2 linked regions of the Drosophila melanogaster genome follow. The protein of the gene in region 1 interacts with the protein of each later gene in a pairwise test. Each region holds a gene or a part of one and is shown on either strand. Other genes may lie near its edges. The genes, in order: CG5674 and Traf-like.

Evidence for each region.
Region 2: the proteins of CG5674 (region 1) and Traf-like interact in a two-hybrid assay, tested with the Drosophila melanogaster proteins (2 studies listed by BioGRID).

The regions. Positions count from the first base shown.
Region 1 is NT_033779.5:17,961,171-17,966,378, forward strand, and holds the start of CG5674 (uncharacterized protein), read left to right. Parts: upstream 1-2,208; 5' UTR 2,209-2,375; coding exon 2,376-2,435; intron 2,436-2,973; coding exon of another isoform or gene 2,974-3,279; intron 3,280-3,338; coding exon of another isoform or gene 3,339-4,717; intron 4,718-4,778; coding exon of another isoform or gene 4,779-5,208. Other genes in the region: btv (beethoven), read right to left, coding at 1,565-1,846, 2,974-3,279, 3,339-4,717, 4,779-5,208.
Region 2 is NC_004354.4:16,413,355-16,418,294, reverse strand, and holds Traf-like (TNF-receptor-associated factor-like), read right to left. Parts: upstream 3,250-4,940; 5' UTR 2,872-3,249; coding exon 2,710-2,871; coding exon of another isoform or gene 2,639-2,709; coding exon 2,210-2,638; intron 2,141-2,209; coding exon 1,732-2,140; intron 1,677-1,731; coding exon 1,561-1,676; intron 1,501-1,560; coding exon 1,192-1,500; 3' UTR 710-1,191; downstream 1-709. Other genes in the region: AnxB11 (annexin B11), read left to right, coding at 5-214, 271-339, 400-465; CG4301 (uncharacterized protein), read right to left, coding at 3,995-4,208, 4,275-4,601, 4,666-4,940.

The sequences.
Region 1 (5,208 bases):
CGGCATGAGTGCAAACTGATTAATCACATTTGGTGGGCTTACATTTATGGCAGATGTGGGGACATATTCGTGTGTATGTACCAGGAAATGGGCGGCAAACACATGCAGATGTCACATTAGCCTTATACTTTAATTAATTTCTAATCCCAGCTCATTGAAGGCGGCTGCAATTAGATGGCGACGCCGTTGCTTGTAGGCTGGCAAGGATTACAAGGATGTGGCCGCTTGGCCCCGACATTTGTCAAACACTAAACACTGAAGAAGCCAAAGGAGGATATCAATTTGTGCATTTGAGTGTAAAGTACGGATTCGCCTGCCCATCAACTGCAAATTAGACATTCAAAATTTAATCGGCAATGCAAGTTTTTGGGGATTTTGGGGCGGGCACATAATTAAGCTGCAACTTTGTGGGGATTATTCAATGCGAATTGGAATCAACCAAAACCACAAGCTTTTAACATTAAATGCGATGAACTATTTGGTTAAGTTGGTAATCCAGCATTGCGGCGGGTGAAATAGTTTAAGGGCCTCATTAATGTGGTTGCGGCTTGGGAATATTTTGGAAATTGATCTTTATGTAGCCTAAATGCATAAGAAGGAGGTCTTTAAACTGTTCTTCCTTGTAGCTAATTGGATTTGAAGTTCGGAGCGGAGTTTATGTATCTTTTGATATACACATTCACTTTATATCCTTACTCAATTACCTTTTCAGCCTTATCGCGCTGCCTAATTCCTTAATCCGCAACTAAATTTCCATTTGAAGCGTAATAAATTATTTATTCTCAATAGCCGACAGCACAACAAGTTGGGAAAGGCGTACAACAAAATCTGAGAAGTCTGCATAGCTAAATTTGCAAAATGTGTTAACAAACTGCCACGCCCACCGATACGAGGCACTGTGATTTGTGCGGAGGGCAATTTATATGCCACAGAAGCCGGCTGCCACGCCCCCTTCTCGGTACCGGGAGGCACTTTACACTCAAATTGTGTTAATTTGCATATTGGAAACTTTTGCCTAATTGAACATAATGCCACTTAATTAAAGTTAAGACAAGTTTTTGACGGTAAAATGGTTTTGGGCCTGGGGGATGTCGGGGATGTCTTGGCAACTAAAAGTATGCCCGACATTTATGGCAGTTTGTTGTTGAAATTTACGGCAATTAGTTTAATATGAGCAGATTATGAGGGACACAGGACGCAATAAAATCCCTTCGGCGGTGGCAAATTAATTTTTAGGGGCATCCCCGAATAAACACAGACACTGAGACATATGGAAATCAATTAGCTCTTCAGAGTCTAAGTCCTCGCCTTAAATGTTTAATGGCCCATTTTTATGTTTGCCTTTGGCTGCCTAATTGTTAGTTGTTTAAATATTTACTTAGAATTAGTTGGGACCCAAATGACAGCGTGTCAAGGGTAGGAAACTAATGTTAAAAGAGTTTCGTTTGGTTTTTATTTAATATTTGCGAAGGTGAATTGCTATTCAAGTGTCAGTCCAACACATTCTTCGCTTCTCTACATATATATTTGAAATATATTGGTATAAAATAATATTGAGTGGTGTTTAATAATCTTCGACTATTAGCGCTGTTCCGGCCAAGAGAATTTGTTCCGCAGTTCCGGTCACAATATCAACATTTAGGTGGCAAATCAATTTGTCGCGACTGCTCCGAGAATATAATGGGAGTTTGGGCTTCGATTCAGCATTTTGCGTGGAATATAGCGAATTTTTGCCGTATTTTGAGGAACTAGTAGTCGTATGACTGACATTTTGTACTTCGTCTTTTATTTTGTACTTGATGTAGAAGGGGTTCGATTTTCCCATTCCACTCTGGGCGCCATCAATCTGTAATGGAAAATGAATAGTGCCAAGTTTAGTTACTAATGAAATACTTAGATATATTCCACATTACATATATTCACAATTGCTAAAAACAAAAAAAAAGGCGAAAAGCGGGTAGATGATTTGCAAAGTTTATTCTCCAAGTCCTAAAATGTATATACAAAAAAATAGTTATTTGTTTTTTTACAGTGTTAGTTCTAGCAGGTACACCCATCAGGGCATAGCGGATGCACTCCCCATAGTCAGCTTCCAAACCGATTATCGATTGGCATCGAATACGTAGATATACAAACGAGAAGGGAAAGTAAAATGTAAGTTTGTGCTCAGAACTGCTTATCGATAGGCATCGGACAAGGTGCCATCTCTAATTCCCCCTCTTGTACCGGAATGTCAATCAAATGAAAACAAAAAAAGCGGCGTGAGAAAACTGAAAAGAACGGGCATCCAGTGCACATTTCAAGCTTAATTTCGATGCATTGAACGGCGGCGGCGCACCGAAAACAGGAGGCGCAGGATTACGGATACGGAAGCTATGGAAACGGCCAGAATGGAGACGGCGATGGAGACACATTTTATGGCCAAAATGGGGAAGGTGAGGAACAAAGACAAGAAGCAAACGGGCAAGAGGGAGAGAAGATGTCATCAGTCTTCGTCCCAAAAGATAAATAAGTATCTTTTGGGATTTTGGATTGGGGGAATCAATTTGGACTATGGATGTATGCATATCTACTATCCAGGTAATCCGTAACAGAGTATTGTTACTGTTACTACTACTACGTGTGCATCCAATTGTATCTGATATAGCAACCTGGCAAAATGTATCCCAAAATTATTTCTCAATGTTTATTGTATTTACTGTAACGCTTCTCGAGGGCTTATGATATTTAATGGTTATCCCCAACTTAACCAATGCGCCATCTACCGCGAATATTATAGTTATGGCAATTTCTTGGCTGATTATCCTGCGATTAGTTAAATTTCCTTTTATGGCTTCGAAATATATTCTTAGTCGCTAAAGAAGAAGACATAGAAGACATAACCCCTTGAATCATGAGTAAGTGGCTTGCTGAATTTGATTTCACAACTTGATGTCAAAACATTATCGGTTAAAGATACTAATTCTTACTCACCTTTAGCGGCGCCAGCTTGAGTATTATGTCCGAAGAATCACTTTCCAAGTTTGAGGAGCCGCAAGTTTGCAACTCCAGGCGTTCGGTGGAAACTGCCAGTTTTCGAGACTGCAGCAGCTTTAAACAGGACAACAGGTTCTCACAGTTAAACACCTGGACGAAATTGATATCCTCTACAAAATCCAGATGCATTTGCTCCCGGAATCGAAGTTCGGCAGCCTGGGCTCGAACGATTAGGGCTCTTAAAAAGTCCACGGCACTGTTGCTGCCAGGTCCAGGCCATAGTTTAAGCCAACTGGCAGGAATCTATGAATTTCAGTTTATTATGCATTTTCAAGTTACGTTACTGTACCCCAGTTTCTTACCTGCTGTTCTGCCAGAGTTCTCAGAGTGCTGCCATCCACCTCCTGCGACTCCTTAAGCCAGGCATGCATCTGCGACAAAGTCTGGTGAACTATGCCGTAGAGATCCGCCCCTAGTTTCAGTTCAGCCAGCACAAAAAGTGCCCAGGGAGATTCACCCACATCAGTTTTTGCCTCCTTCATAGTCTGGATTATGGTACACGAAGCCGCCAACTTTCTCCATAGATTCAGTAGGGGTTTAATTTGCTGTTCCAGCTTCTGACGACCAGTGAGCTGATCGTTTCCCTTAGACTCTCCTGCTCCTCCAGAATCCTTAGCCAAGCCTCTTCCGTAATGCAATCCCCTGAGTTCCTTTATCACTCTTTTGGCCTGTTCAATTTCGCGTTGCTGTTGTGCCTGATTGGCCAAACCATACATACTGGGCTCATCTGTGTCAGGAAGTTTCTCCAATGCAGCGTAGTAGTCCTGCAGTTGACCGCTAGTTGGTATGGATAGAGATAATCCAAGAGGTGACCAACGATTGCTTAAGACGTCCGCTGAACAAAACTGGTTCAGATAGGTTGTGAGTATCTCCAGATCCCTCTGATTATTTACTCTTCCGCCATAAGCGAGGGCTTCACTGAGACGTTGCATCAGCAACCAATCGCATTTTCCTGAATTAAGTTGCTGATCCATCATTCTTAGGATACCCAGAGCCGCTTTTAGATCTGCCTCACCGAATTCATAGTATTTTGACCAACCTTGTGGTATAAACTGTCGCCTTTGTTGAAGCACAGCTGTTAGGACAAAATAAACCAGTCTCATCTTGAGGCTCTTTGGTTGGTTTTTAAGCTTTTGATCCTGTTCAGCAGCGAAGTTCTGGAGCAAACGCATCACAATCTGCTTTAGTCCCTTAGGCTGCTCATAACGTACTTTAAGGCATTTATAAATGGCAGCTTCGGAAAATCCCTCGGTTGATTCGCACAATAGCCACAATCGAAAGTCTTTCGATTTTTGAATTTCACTTAATTCCCTTTCCATTTGAGTTAGAAATTCCGGCACCAAATGGACATTCTTAACGCATAACCAGTGGCCATCTATGGCAGCCTGACGCATTTCGGAGAGAACTCTTTTCTCAACACCTTTTCCAATAGCCATTTCTCTATACTTTTGATTGGCCCACTTTCTCAATTCAGTTGTTGGATCATTTTCCGCATGACTAACCATCAAAATCGGGCGATCACAGCTGCTCTGCTGCAGCAACTGCTCCACAGAAGGTTGGGTGGAGGCATCTGGGGAAATTCCCAGCAGATCGCTACTCACTTTTCGCAGTTGGTGAAGCATCAAGTCGGGTCGGAAAATCTGAGCAATAAGCACACGCTGGAAGCTGGACCCCAACGCAGCTGTAAGTTCGAAAATAAATCTGAATAAGATGAAATTAACTAAATTATTTCTACAACTTACGTAGCACATCATCCGCTTGAGCCTCAATGAATCCGCGCCAGATATAGTCCTTCTCCAACTGGAGCTTGCTTCGCAAATCTGGGAACAATTGGAGTAACATAGCCAGCTTTAATTGCGCTTCCTTGGGCATGCAGTCGGGCAGTTTTCCAAGCTGACTTAGCACCATACTGCCATCAGAACTACCCATGAAATTGTTCACAAACAGCTCCCACTCCTTGGGGTTTAATCTATCGGGATATGCCTGATGACAAACCCACAAGGATAAGGATAGCTGGCTATCTCTAGAAGTAGCTCTAGCTAAATTCATATAAACACTTCGTACAAGACAATCATAGACCTTGGACTCATCTCGTTGACTTTTGGAAAGAGCCCCCAAAAATAGTTCAATGTAAACAAGAGGGGATAATTCATAGCCCTGGATGAGGCCTGC
Region 2 (4,940 bases), on another chromosome or scaffold:
GCAGATATTCCAAGAGTACGAGGGCATGACTGGCCACTCGCTGGAGAAGGCGATCAAGAAGGAGTTCTCCGGCGATGTGATGGAGGGCCTGATTGCCATCTACAGGTGCGTCACCAACAAGGCCGAATACTTCGCTTCGCGCCTGCACAAGGCGATGGCCGGAATTGGCACCAATGACACCCAGTTGATCCGTGTGATCATCACGCGCAGCGAGGTAAGTACATCTATATATAATATCATTCAACCCTAAAATGTTGCAACGTTTTTCAGATTGATATGACGGACATTAAGGTAGCGTTCGAACGTCTGTACGGCAAGTCCCTCAAGAGCTGGATCAAGGTAAGATATATATATCTATCTATATCTATATTCTATAATCATATAAAATCCTACTTGCAGGGCGATACTTCGGGCCACTACAAGCACGCCCTTTATGCCCTGGTGGGTGAACAGCGCTCCTCTTAAGAATCTCCGCATATACATATATATGTATTATTCAAACCAAATCCGACGTGAAATCAATTATTCGAATATGTATTATCTCTTCTATGTATTCGTTCATTTAAATGCATACAACATACAAGAACACGCCAACGAAGCCAGACAATTATGATCCACAACGTAGACTATAAGTGCACACAAATAATACCTGAACGGGATCAGACATTTGATACCTCTTTCAAAGAAATGAACATGGGAACCGACAGTTGACAAGTGTTGAAGTTGTATTTTATTAAAAGACCTTTGTATTTAAATGCGTTCGTAAAGACAAATAATATGGAAGTTCCTCTCAAAAATCGCTTGTTAATTTGCTCGAAATGAAAAACCAAAAAATGAAAGAGTTGCTTATATCTTGACAAAGTGACCAGGGAAATGTTGCAATAAAAGCTATGCTTTCTAACTACCGACTTCGTCTCGACAGTGCCTCAATGTGACTATTGCCTAATTTGAAAAAAAGCATTTAAAACTGCAATGACATTTAAAACTACAATATACGCATATTGAAACGATGAATCGATTCGTATGCACTTATACACTATATATGTACACATACTCGTGTTTGTAAGCGGGTTTTTAACTTCCAGTTCGCTCTCAATGGAATAAATTATGTTTTATGTATGTGACAATCCGCAATTGGATTTTTTTTTTCTTATCGCTCCTGGTGGGTGGGATAGCGATGCTGCATGGGTTTTATTTTAGAACTCGAACCTCGATGAACATGGAATCGTTGCGAAGATAGTTGCGACTGGTGATTACCTTGTGTGGTATATGGAAGTACTGGTTGCTTTGGATAAAATCATCGCTCTTCTTGCGCACAAAGATGGTCTTCACATAATCCTCGGCATCTGCCACATTCGTGCACTGATCCCGGATGATGATCTCGGCCTGAAGGCGGCATGGCCAGGCCAGAAGGGGATCGTACTCTCCGGATAGAACGTTCAAGCAGGCGATCATGTTCCTGCCCTTCCAGGTGCCCTTGCCATTCAAGTATATATCCAGCTAGTAATGGGGTATACATATATAAATGGCATATCCAACCAAGATCCAACCTCAACTCACCCGTAGAGCATAGCCAAAGGCTTTATTGGAGAACATGGCGCTATGGAGGATGGTGTCGTACTGCTTGGACTCTTCCAGTTTTTTCGAGTAATCCTTGATGCGCCAAATCAAGTGTCCTGTACGACCAGATATTATATATTTAAATTACTATATTGAACCAACAATATGTACCCCTTATATTCTGGACACTGGCAATCCGCTGCTGCATGGCCATTTGGGTCTCCAAATCCGATATATTCTGCATGGTCTGGTGAAGTGCTCGATCCAATTTATCGCAACGTTCCTCCGTTTCGCACACAATGTTCTTCACATTCTTCACCTCATAGTCCAATGTGGCCTGCTTTGACGTCACATAGTCACTGTTGCCCAGCTTTGTTTTGATGTCCTCATTGATCTGCTGCAGAAACTCCTCGATCTGAAAGAACTTCTCCCTGTTGAGCCGCTCGTTCTCAAAGATCAGCTCCTCCAGCTTTAGGATATTGTCGTTTAGCTGATTCTGGTGATAGGTCACGTCCGCCGAGAGCTGATTGACCAGCTTTTGGGCCTCATCCAGCCTGGACTCCACTTGCTCTTTCAAGGACTTCGACGGAGATATGCACATTAAAGATAGATAGTATATATATATTTAAATAAAGTAGCATTAACTAACCTGTGTGATATCACAGCAGTACTGGACATCCAGCTGGTTCTGTTCGATGGCGAATGCCTTCCGATTGGTTTCCTCCTCCATCTGGCGACGCAGATCGTCCATTGCCTTCTCGGTTTCGCGGGTCCAGTCCTCGACGACCTGGTTCTGCTTCCGTATGTTGCCCACATCGGTAATGAGATGCAAACGCTGTCGTATCTCCTCGTTGAGAACGGACCGAATGGTGCCCACGTCCTGTTCAATGACCAGGAGACGCTGATCCGACTGCCTATCCAGGCGATCCATGCTGACACTCATGCGTTGCTGATTGCTCAGATTGTGCTGGTTGCGTGGACACTCCTTCAGATGGGATCGCATACGGATGCGTGGAATGAAGGCCTGACAGCCGTTGGGACACTCCTCCAGCACCTGGCCGCAGTGGATCAGGTGTTCCTGCAGTCGCATCCAAAGAGGAGTAATGTAATAGTAATCAAAGGTGAACTGAAAAGTTGGACGATTATAACCGTGAATGTCTGGGCATCGAACCATTCGTTGCAGAAGAGGCACGACGACTTCTCATACTTGACTATGGTCGTCGATTTGGGCTGATTCTGATTCTCATTCTGATTCTGATACTGATTCTGCTCGGTTAGATCCTTTCTCGACGACGACTTGGTCAGTGACATTATATTGATTAAAGGAAAGCAAATTCGATTGAAACTTTGGATCAGCAAATTCTCTGGCGCTGCGAGCACCGCCCTATGCACACTAAACTCAGCCAAAAATGATTAAGAATTTCCTTGGGCATAGTCATACGCGGCGCACACAGACATGGTTTAGATATAGCTTTGCACATGTGTTAGCATTAGGGCGTCCATGGGAATCTATACGACAACCTCGAACTGATAGCACTGCCATTTGGTGCGATTACCACTATTTCGAAATGCGAGAGCAACCAACGAATCGTATTGACCACTAACTTGGCGAACTACGACCAGGAAAACACAGCCACCGAGAATCCACTAAAATCGTAACCGTCACCAGATCTTCCAGCGACTATATGGCCACATATGTACCTGCAAAATGTTCATATCTCTAGCTCCCCTTGTACAAACATATTCGGAATGCGAGTGGAGATAACATTATCAATGAAAAACGGGCTTCACAATCAAAACTTTGTCCATTGCCTCGGCAATGCAAATGGTAACGACGCCATCAACTAGATAACAATGTGGTGGGCGGCAGTGATCGTGGGCGTGGCAGTGGGTATGGCCGAACCAACAGGTGCCCTACGTACACATATGTGGATCGGGATTGAAGTACATTTACTGACTCGCCGCCCTACTTTATGGTATCAAAAGTGGGGCAACGGCTAAACTGTGATAAAAACGGGCTATATACTTTCGTATATATTTTTAAACAATATCCGATGTAGGAAAAATATTAAATAAATCCTTTATTAATTAGATGTTTGTATCGTGTAGCTGTATTGAAACCCAGCATTTTCGTAAACGAACCATTTTTCCAAGTGTAGTTGCACTTGCTCTCAATAAGTCGCCGAGATTATGATAAAAATGTTATCAGCCTAAAATGTCGTACTTCCCAGTTGATTGCGAGTGTTAGCATACGATTTCAAGGTTCTCCATTTGGGAAGTTGAGATACTTTCCTACCTCTAAGGTGGTGGTCAGAAATCAAATCTATTGTTCAAACGTTTAACAAAAATTTGTTTATCTAACAAAAAAAAAAAAAATTGTATACATGAGGAAATAAATAAATTAGGGGTATAAAAACTATAGCCTAATCGACGATTACAAGTATGTGGACTCAAACTTCTCGCGCATCTTAAGTTTCCGTTGTTTTCCGGGAAAAATGCTGAAACTCTTTATGTTGAGCGCCCTCTGGAGCATTCGGATGGTATAGTCGGGTACCAGGCAGGCCACACAGGTCACTATGATCCACAGCCAGACTGGCAGTGAGGCCAACAGATTGTTGTAGGCCCAGTAGATGTCGGTGTCGTAGTCCCTGCAAATAATACATATACATATTAGTTTAAACCTTAAATGGATACATTCGTAGCCATGAACTCACAGATTGATAACGTTGTAGATAACCGTTGTGACTACAAAGCCCAAAATGGAAATGATAATGGTGAATATATACCAAAAGGACAGATACATTGACTCGAGCCAGAGCTTAAGGTTCACGACCACCACCACCGTCCACATGAGGAGGGTGCCGAAGCAGGAGAAGGCCACCGTCTGTCCGTAGTTCAGGAGAACGTTGTTGTAGTAGAAGAAGCAGAAGGCGAAGTAGAATATGATGACACTGTGGTAGATCGCAAATAGGACCCACATCAGGAAGTACGGCCAGTGGAGCTGCTTGTTGTCCGTGTTCTTCTTGTAAAGCTGTGGCGTTCTGTTCAAGTTGCATTTTTAGTAACATCAACATTATACATATAAACGATTGAACCCACTGTTACCTCATCAACTTCTCCTCGGTGTATGGCTTCTCGGAGATAGCTATGAACAAAATGGGCAGCGAGGTGTATATCACATTGTACAAGGTAAGGAATAGCGAATCGTAGACGGAGGATGAGGAGAACAGCGTGTGAAACTGGAACAGGAACATGATGCCCATAAAGACGATGTTCTTGTAGAAGAAGTACAGCACCAGCAGGGACAGTCGGACACTGTGATAGTGTCCATGGACGAGAAGCAATCTCTTGAGCATGCAAAACTTGGCGAAGGCAAAATC